2 linked regions of the Schizosaccharomyces pombe genome follow. The protein of the gene in region 1 interacts with the protein of each later gene in a biochemical or structural test. Each region holds a gene or a part of one and is shown in the gene's direction. Other genes may lie near its edges.

The links.
Region 2: the proteins of pmo25 (region 1) and nak1 form a complex in vitro, tested with the Schizosaccharomyces pombe proteins (one study listed by BioGRID).

What each region holds. Positions count from the first base shown.
Region 1 is NC_003424.3:4,703,925-4,707,723, reverse strand, and holds pmo25 (mo25 family protein Pmo25), read left to right. Parts: upstream 1-1,782; 5' UTR 1,783-1,804; coding exon 1,805-1,906; exon of another isoform or gene 1,907-1,961; coding exon 1,962-2,414; exon of another isoform or gene 2,415-2,499; coding exon 2,500-2,934; 3' UTR 2,935-3,236; downstream 3,237-3,799. Other genes in the region: kinesin-like protein Klp3, read right to left, coding at 65-218, 264-337, 546-645, 699-809; mannosyltransferase complex subunit Alg9, read right to left, coding at 3,403-3,799.
Region 2 is NC_003423.3:2,481,500-2,486,176, reverse strand, and holds nak1 (PAK-like kinase Nak1), read left to right. Parts: upstream 1-1,751; 5' UTR 1,752-1,856; coding exon 1,857-1,936; exon of another isoform or gene 1,937-1,987; coding exon 1,988-2,474; intron 2,475-2,539; coding exon 2,540-3,931; 3' UTR 3,932-4,110; downstream 4,111-4,677. Other genes in the region: SPOM_SPBC12C2.01C (uncharacterized protein), read right to left, coding at 4,290-4,677.

The sequences.
Region 1 (3,799 bases):
ATGGTTAATTTTGCTGAAATTAAATACGAACGTCGCAAAATTTCTACGGCATTTGAAGGCTTACCGGAAAGTAGATCATGAATTTTTTCCATGTAGATTTCCATGTATGATACCTTCACTTCGTATTCAGTAGTAGATGGTGAATCGCGGATTTTGTCAAAAATACGCCTGAGCATTCTTGGAGTCATTCCTTCTTTTTCGAAATTATTTTCAATACCCTAAAGATTGTTAGAAAAGTGTGCCAGGTGAAATTGTGAATATACCATCATGGTGTATGTTTTGCCGGATCCTGTCTGTCCATAGGCTAGTACTGTTCCGTTATAACCCAAGAATAAGTCTATAATATATTAGTACATATTTAATGAAATTCAGAACAACTTGAATGTGATTCGAACAATGTATTAAAATGGCAATTCGTTTCAAATGAAGCGTCAAAACGAGCGCATATAAAAAAAGGCTATGCTATAATTTCATACAAGCTGTTGCTGACAACGATGAAATTAATCCGTTCAACGCCGTGTAAAGTTTTACTATCATTCACATACCATCGACTGTCGATTCAATTGAATACGAAAATATATCATTCTGAGTGCTAGAAGGATGAAAAACACGATCGAATACAAAGTTTCCTGAGTAATCACTAGTCTTTTAATCATGTCAGCCGAATTCTAAAGTAAAGATCAATTGTTGAAACCTACCTCGATATGAACAGTAGAATCGTTTAATGGGTATATCACATTATTTCCTCCAAGGTCTTGTTCCAACTGGTTCGTGGGCCGAATTCGGCACACTACTTTAATTGAAGTCATTGAGTAAAACTGCTTTATAAAAAGATAAAAAATCAAATAATGTATGATTAAAACGCAGTATATAAATTAGATCCATACATCCAAAAAAATCATTAAAGACAATATGTGAGCGGGCTAATTTCATATACAGGGAAAGACGAGGTTAACCTAACATGGTGCCTCTACAATAATTGTTGTTTAAGGCAACGTATCAAAAACAGAATAATATCATGTAATTAACTACATAATTGTTTAATGTTAAAGCTCGAAGTGTGAATTAAAAAAAATAAATTTACAAATCAACAGGCTAAAATTGTTTACTTCCTTCTACATATTCTTTTTTTCCTGATATTATTTGAAGATTTACACATGTATAAAATTCTTAAGATTGTTCAATCTTGATTCATATTTTAAGCAGAGTATTTTACCCTTCGTCTGATTAATATCTGTGACGAAAATTGGATTGCAATTTCTCACATATTTATTTATGAAAATTTGATTAAATGGTAAGAACGAGAAACCTCGCAGGTATTTATTTATTTTTTTTTTTAAATTAAATAATTTTTTTAAATTGTGAAGTTTATATGGAGATTTGGATGTATTTGCAATTTACAAGTTTATCCCAGATACTATTTCAAACATTAGCATTAAAAAACGTTTGTTTTACTACTTTGTATTTCTACTAGCTATACCAACCTACCAATTCATTTACCGAAGAGAAAAAGGTATGGAAAATGCATAATTCATAAATAGATCTACTTAGTACACTTGCTATCATCTAAATGCACCTGCGTTTCAATACTTGATTACTTATGTATAATCGAGATGTAACAACCCCCACATTGGTATCACTTCAGGTATAAGTAAAGGTAATTTGAATACTCAAGAAGTGTACCTTAATAGTATTCAACTGAATATGAAAATAGACCCCCACTGTGGACCATCGCCTGGCACCCACTTTACTTACCCTGTCATATGCCATAAGTTTTTAGAGAAACCGAATTCCATAATTCCGCATGTCGTTTCTGTTCAATAAACGACCAAAATCAACCCAAGATGTTGTTCGCTGCTTATGTGATAATCTCCCAAAGTTGGAAATAAACAATGATAAAAAGAAGGTATTAATTATTAGTAATTGTTGTTTTTGTTCGTTTAGATGACTAACGTAAACAGTCCTTTGAGGAAGTTTCCAAATGTTTACAGAATTTACGGGTTTCATTGTGTGGGACAGCTGAAGTAGAGCCTGATGCTGATCTCGTATCAGACTTATCTTTTCAAATTTACCAGTCGAATTTACCTTTTTTACTCGTTCGATATTTACCGAAATTGGAGTTTGAGTCTAAAAAGGATACAGGACTAATATTTAGCGCTTTACTTAGGAGGCATGTAGCATCGAGATATCCCACTGTTGACTACATGCTTGCGCACCCGCAAATCTTTCCAGTATTGGTCTCATACTATCGATACCAGGAAGTAGCTTTTACTGCTGGTTCTATCCTTCGTGAGTGTTCCCGTCATGAAGCCCTTAATGAGGTACTTTTAAACTCACGAGATTTTTGGACATTTTTTAGTTTGATACAAGCCTCTAGTTTTGATATGGCGAGTGATGCGTTTTCGACTTTTAAGGTACGTATTATCCCCAAATAAAACTTCTGTCGTTGCAATGTTTTTATATACTCCCGCTAGTTTTGCATTTACTAACTTTAATCAGTCTATTCTTCTTAATCATAAATCCCAAGTTGCTGAGTTTATTTCATACCATTTTGACGAGTTTTTTAAGCAATACACTGTCCTTTTGAAATCTGAAAATTATGTTACCAAACGTCAATCTTTAAAGCTTTTAGGGGAAATTCTTCTTAATCGTGCTAACCGTTCAGTCATGACACGCTATATTAGTTCTGCTGAGAATCTGAAACTAATGATGATTCTGCTGAGAGATAAGAGTAAAAACATTCAATTTGAAGCTTTTCATGTTTTTAAATTGTTTGTTGCTAATCCTGAAAAGTCGGAAGAAGTAATCGAAATATTAAGGAGGAACAAATCAAAGTTGATTTCTTACTTGTCAGCTTTTCATACTGACCGGAAAAATGATGAGCAGTTTAATGATGAACGCGCATTTGTAATAAAACAGATTGAACGCTTATGACTCTTGTTACTCACCAATGTGCTCATGTCTTTCAAAATCATGCTGTTGTCCATCCTATATTTACAAAGGAAAAAAAATTGTAGATTAGATTTATTAAATGATATATGCGAGTTGAAATATTTGATGCATGAGATACGGATGCTTTAGATATTAGCATTAGGTTAATTGCTAACCGATTCCATGAATAAAAGAACTTTATTATTTCATGTACTAAGACTTCCTAAGATTGTCTGACATCGCCAAGTCAACCGTTTAGATAGATTATTTGACACTAATTATTAATTAAATATCTGACAAATTGGAAAATCAAATGTAAAATAACTTCGCATTTTTTCTATGTAATTGAGTTTCCACAGCCTTTTCTTTCTTCTTAGAGAATTTAAAGCTTTGGACATATGCTTGCAAAGACTTTTACAATTTTTAGTAATAACAACCTAAGAAAGGCTTACATACACTCTCTTAAAAATTTTAAGCTTGTTGTTTAGAGGCACGACGCAAATTTGAAAAATCAATCTTGACCGGCTTTTTCACCAATATCTCATATCGGCCCCATTTAGGCTCAATAAAGGGGACAGCAAAAGCTCTGCCCATAAAAGGAGTTTGTTTCGTGTCAATGAAAGGGTACACCATGACTGGAATCCAACCGTCAGACTTTGAATATATCGGTTCGTTGACTGTGGCCTTCGAATGATCAAACTCTAAATCTATTAAAAAATCGCAAGACTCAAGAGAAGTATAACGAGTTGGCTCTTCATTATTGAATTCATTCATGTGTTCAGGGATCTGATAGTAGCCTTCACGGTTCCACCATGTTGAATTAGATTCAACGAATTCACCGGGTAAAATACCGTCAAACTCACTCTTT
Region 2 (4,677 bases), on another chromosome or scaffold:
GCGTTAGTGTCAGTAGGAAGTGTGCTGATACCACCCATCCCAGATTAGCAGTGCAAAGTGGGCTCATTAAAGGACGAGTTGAAAGTCATGTTCCTAGGAAATATTTGAATTGCGAATTCTTACAAGTCAAACTGACGAGTTTTGACAATGAAGAATGCCCTCCCCTTGGTTGTTGGTATACTGTTTTTATTGATAAATAAAAGTACCATGTCTCTCTGTACATACAACTACGATTTTCGATATACAGGAATGTTTAGATAATTAATCTTTTAAGAGAAATTCTTTTAGTAATGCAAATTTCTATGATTGTATAATATGCTTGAAACTGTGATTTGTCTGGGGTTTTCTTTTTTGTTATATTTTTATTATGTACAACGACTCTTGTTCACCCAGGTCGAAGAGCTAAGGGTCGCTCATTTCTATATTTCTTTCAAGTTTCCTTTTTTTGCTTAATACATTATCATTTGATTGTTGCGATTGATTGTTACAATCGATCGCTCGCACCGATAATCTCAATTAAGCTCAGCGTGTTGACTTACTTTATCTAACCTTTAAAATAGGTCATCGCTACAAAAATTAGTAAACGAAAGAATAAAGAAAATACAAATCCTTCAATTGATTTCTCGTTTTACTCCCTTTTTACTCGGCAATGTAATAATAAATTAATAATATACATTACATTATTTTTATTTACTACACTTTTAAAATAGCGATGTGGGTATTGGACGCATCAAATCAATTCATTGAATTGAAAGTCTGTAAATACCGGGATTTGTCATCCCATCAAACAAAACTAAGCTGCCCTCAAGAAATTGTACAAAAATTTAAAATTTCTTTGACTAGCTCCTATTATGCGATTGTTTCGTCGAATATTTTATATGATCGGTTCGAAACGATAGCCATGCAAGATGAGCAGCAACAGTAATGCTCGTTAAATTAACTAAAAAGCAACTTATTACAAACCAATTGGTAATTTCATAAAAAAAATGAAATGGTTTGGAGAACAGTGTACAAGCTAATGGATAGCATACTAAACGTAACACACCAGACAACCATGCATACTCGGATTTACATAATCAACTTAGTATCTTTATCTTAAGATACAAATTAGTATTTTACGCAAATTCTCAAAAATCGACCGAGTAAATAAGTAATGTCATCTCATTTTATTATTTACTACGAAAATCAGCATATTTGTAAGGTGAGAAGCTTTCAGCTCTTAAGCTTAGATAGTGGAAATTTTGCAATCCGTAAAATGTAGATTGTGAGAAGGATCTTATATGATTGTATGCATTATGTAAAGTTGGTTTACGAATATGGGCTTTAAATATCCTTGGATATAAACAAGACATTGGGTACTACTATAACTGTATAAATTGTTTACAATTTGAACTGAGGAACAAAAATTCGGTCGATTTATTTTAAAGGATTTTAGTCTTAAAGATAATTACTCTCAAAGAACGGATATATATCCGCTGCGGAACGGAAATATAAATAACTACAGATTATATACTGATTAACGACATAGCGTAGTAGAAAAATACAGATAAGATATCGTTAGTTTTACGTTACGCTAAACTCGATAAGATATTCTCATTTCTCCTGCTAAATTTGCTGTATTTTTCCTCGCAAAGCTTCGGTATTGAAAAAAAATAGTATAATAAGTTGTTTGTTATTTAGGGATTGCACAAATTGAGTATTATAGTAAACAGTTTTTCAATATATATCTACTCAATTCCTTCGTACCCGCTACCACCAGCAGTATAGAAAAAGTGAAAGGGAATTGAAGGAGTTTGAATTGAACCTGTTCAATTAAAATTCTTCATGTATCTGCTAAGCAGCTAAAGTTATTAGAAATGGAAAATAACACTGCTTCTTCGCCGTACACAAAATTAGAATTGGTGGGACGCGGTTCGTACGGCGCAGTCTATAGAGGGTATGAATATTATTCGAGTGATTCTTTTCTACATTTTCTAACATTCTAAAGAATTTGCAATTTAACGAAAGAGACTGTTGCCATCAAGATTCTTAATTTGGATACCGATGAGGATGAAGTCTCTGATATTCAGAAAGAAGTCGCTGTTCTTAGTGAATTGAAACAGTCCGATGTCGAAAACATTATAAAGTATCATGGCTCTTATTTGGTAGGTACTAATTTATGGATTATAATGGATTATTGTCATGGAGGTAGCGTGCGTACTTTGATGGAGGCTGGTCCCATTAGTGAACCATGCATATCTTTGATCCTTAGAGAGACCTTACAGGCATTAAAATTTATTCATCATGCAGGTATCATCCATCGTGATATAAAAGCTGCCAACATCCTAGTTTCCATGTCTGGAAATGTCAAGCTATGTGACTTTGGCGTTGCTGCCGAACTAAACATCAATCGCCGAAAGCGAATCACGTTTATTGGAACGCCTTATTGGATGGCACCAGAAGTTATTCGAGATGGTCAGGAATATAATGTTATGGTATGTTTCGTTGCTGATTACTTATAGCCCTTTACCTATTCCACAAAATTATTAACAAAGTTTAGGCTGACATTTGGTCGCTCGGAATCACTGCATATGAAATTGCTACTGGATCTCCACCTCATGCCAAAGAGGATCCTTTTCGTGCCGTTTACCTAATCGCTCACACCGCACCCCCTAGACTCAATGGAAATTTTAGTGCTCTTTTAAAAGAATTCATTGCCTCTTGTTTGCAGGATGTCCCTCAGAGGAGATTAGATTCTTCCGAACTTTTGAAATCAAAATTTATCAAACAATATTCTCGCATGTCTATTTCTGAACTTACCAATGTTGTAAAACGCTATGACACTTGGCAGGCTGCTGGCGGCATACCCCAAACGCTACTCTTGGGTGAAGAAGCCGATGATGGAAGCGACCCTGATCAGGAAACCTCCGACACCGCTGCTTCTGATGATGGTTGGGAATTTGGCACTATTAAACAAGGTCAAAGTAACGTTTCATCCATCACTGGCACTTCCACCTCCACTACTACCGCTGCTACTTCCTCCACTACTGTAACTGGAACTGTAATTCCAAAATCTTCCACAGTGCATGAACCCCCTTCATCTAATGATTCCCATCCGTTATTACAACTTTTTAAGGATTCAAAGATTTCGGATGATGATTCTCCCAGTAACGCTGAAGGAGCTTCTACTGAGGATTCCAAAGGTGAAGTATCTTATTCTCAAATCGAATTACCTAGCTTAGATTCCTCAAATCTATCCTCCAAAAAATCAACCATTCAATCGAAACACACTAAGCAAGCTGAAGATTACGATTTGTTTGTAGGTCGCACACGCTCAAATTCCAAAACCTCATCGGATCAAAGTATCAAACGACCCCTGCCTCGAGTTGTGCAACGTCAAAAAACTTCTCTTGGAAAACGAGGAATATCCATGTCACCAATGAAGCCGGGTCTTCGTATGCCATCCTCATTCGACCTCCAATCTAGAAGTATATCGATGGGCGCATTTGAACAACTATCTACACCATTAGAAGCGCCAGCGCATAAACATTCGGCAGTGCTACAGCCATTAGAGGTTAATAGGTCAATTAGTATACCTCCTCCGAAATCGATTTCTCCCTCTATTTTGCATAAACCTAGTCTTGAATCCGCTAGTTCTACTCCTAAAATTTCCTCCTGTTCGTCCACTCCTAAGCCATTTAATTCGAAATTAAGAGCTCATTTACCCCCTTTATCCATTGGCTCACCGGCCGTTCAACCATTAGCAAATGATAATTACGATTCTCTGGGGGTTCGAGGTCTAAATATGGAATTATTTAATGATTATCCAGGTAATATGCACAATATAAAGTCTGTATTGAGCTTAGAAATAGACATCGTTTTGGGAGAAATGGACGCTTGTCTAAAGAGCTTGGAATGTAATCTTTTAAACAGAAAAGCATATAATGAATAACTGTTTATGATGCTTTTAGTCCTTTCATAATATAATCTTTAATTTATTTAATGTTTTAACTTCTCTTTTTTTGCTAATATATTCGTTCATCTTTTATGAAAATCTAAATTGTTGAGATAATGATGCCAAATACAGAACATTTAAATTAAAATAGTGCCCACGGTTAAGGAATAGAGTCGTAAATTTATTGTCGTGATAATAACTAAAGAACAAGATGAGGGATAATTTAATTTATATGAGTTACAATTTGAACGAAAATTACAATGATTTAATTTACCTTACTAAATACCCAAACAGTAGAAATCTTAATATTGTATTTAAATAACCATCCAAATGAACCATTTTTATTACCAAAGCATCAACCCGTCGAGGAAAACTTTAACTTGCTACAAATCGAGTGTAGTCTATCGTAAAACCGTAACTTTTGTTCTGTATTCACAAAATTTATTGCCTGTATCATCGCATATTCCTGCATAGTTTCAGTCCCATGAAGAAGTAAAACCATCAATAACTTTTCGGAGGGAAAATGTTGGGAAAAGCAGAGCGATAGGAAAATCTTTTGAGCTGTTTCAAATTTTCGTTTTCGTAAGAACCACTCTAAAAGAGTTGTTTTCAATTCATAAGAAGCAGGAAGAGCCAATAACTCCATATGTTTTAATAAATAAAAACTAGTCCTAAGCCTATTTTTTTGAAGTAGAAAGTAACGAATAGTTAAAGTGAACATCCTCGATCTAAGAAAAGGATCA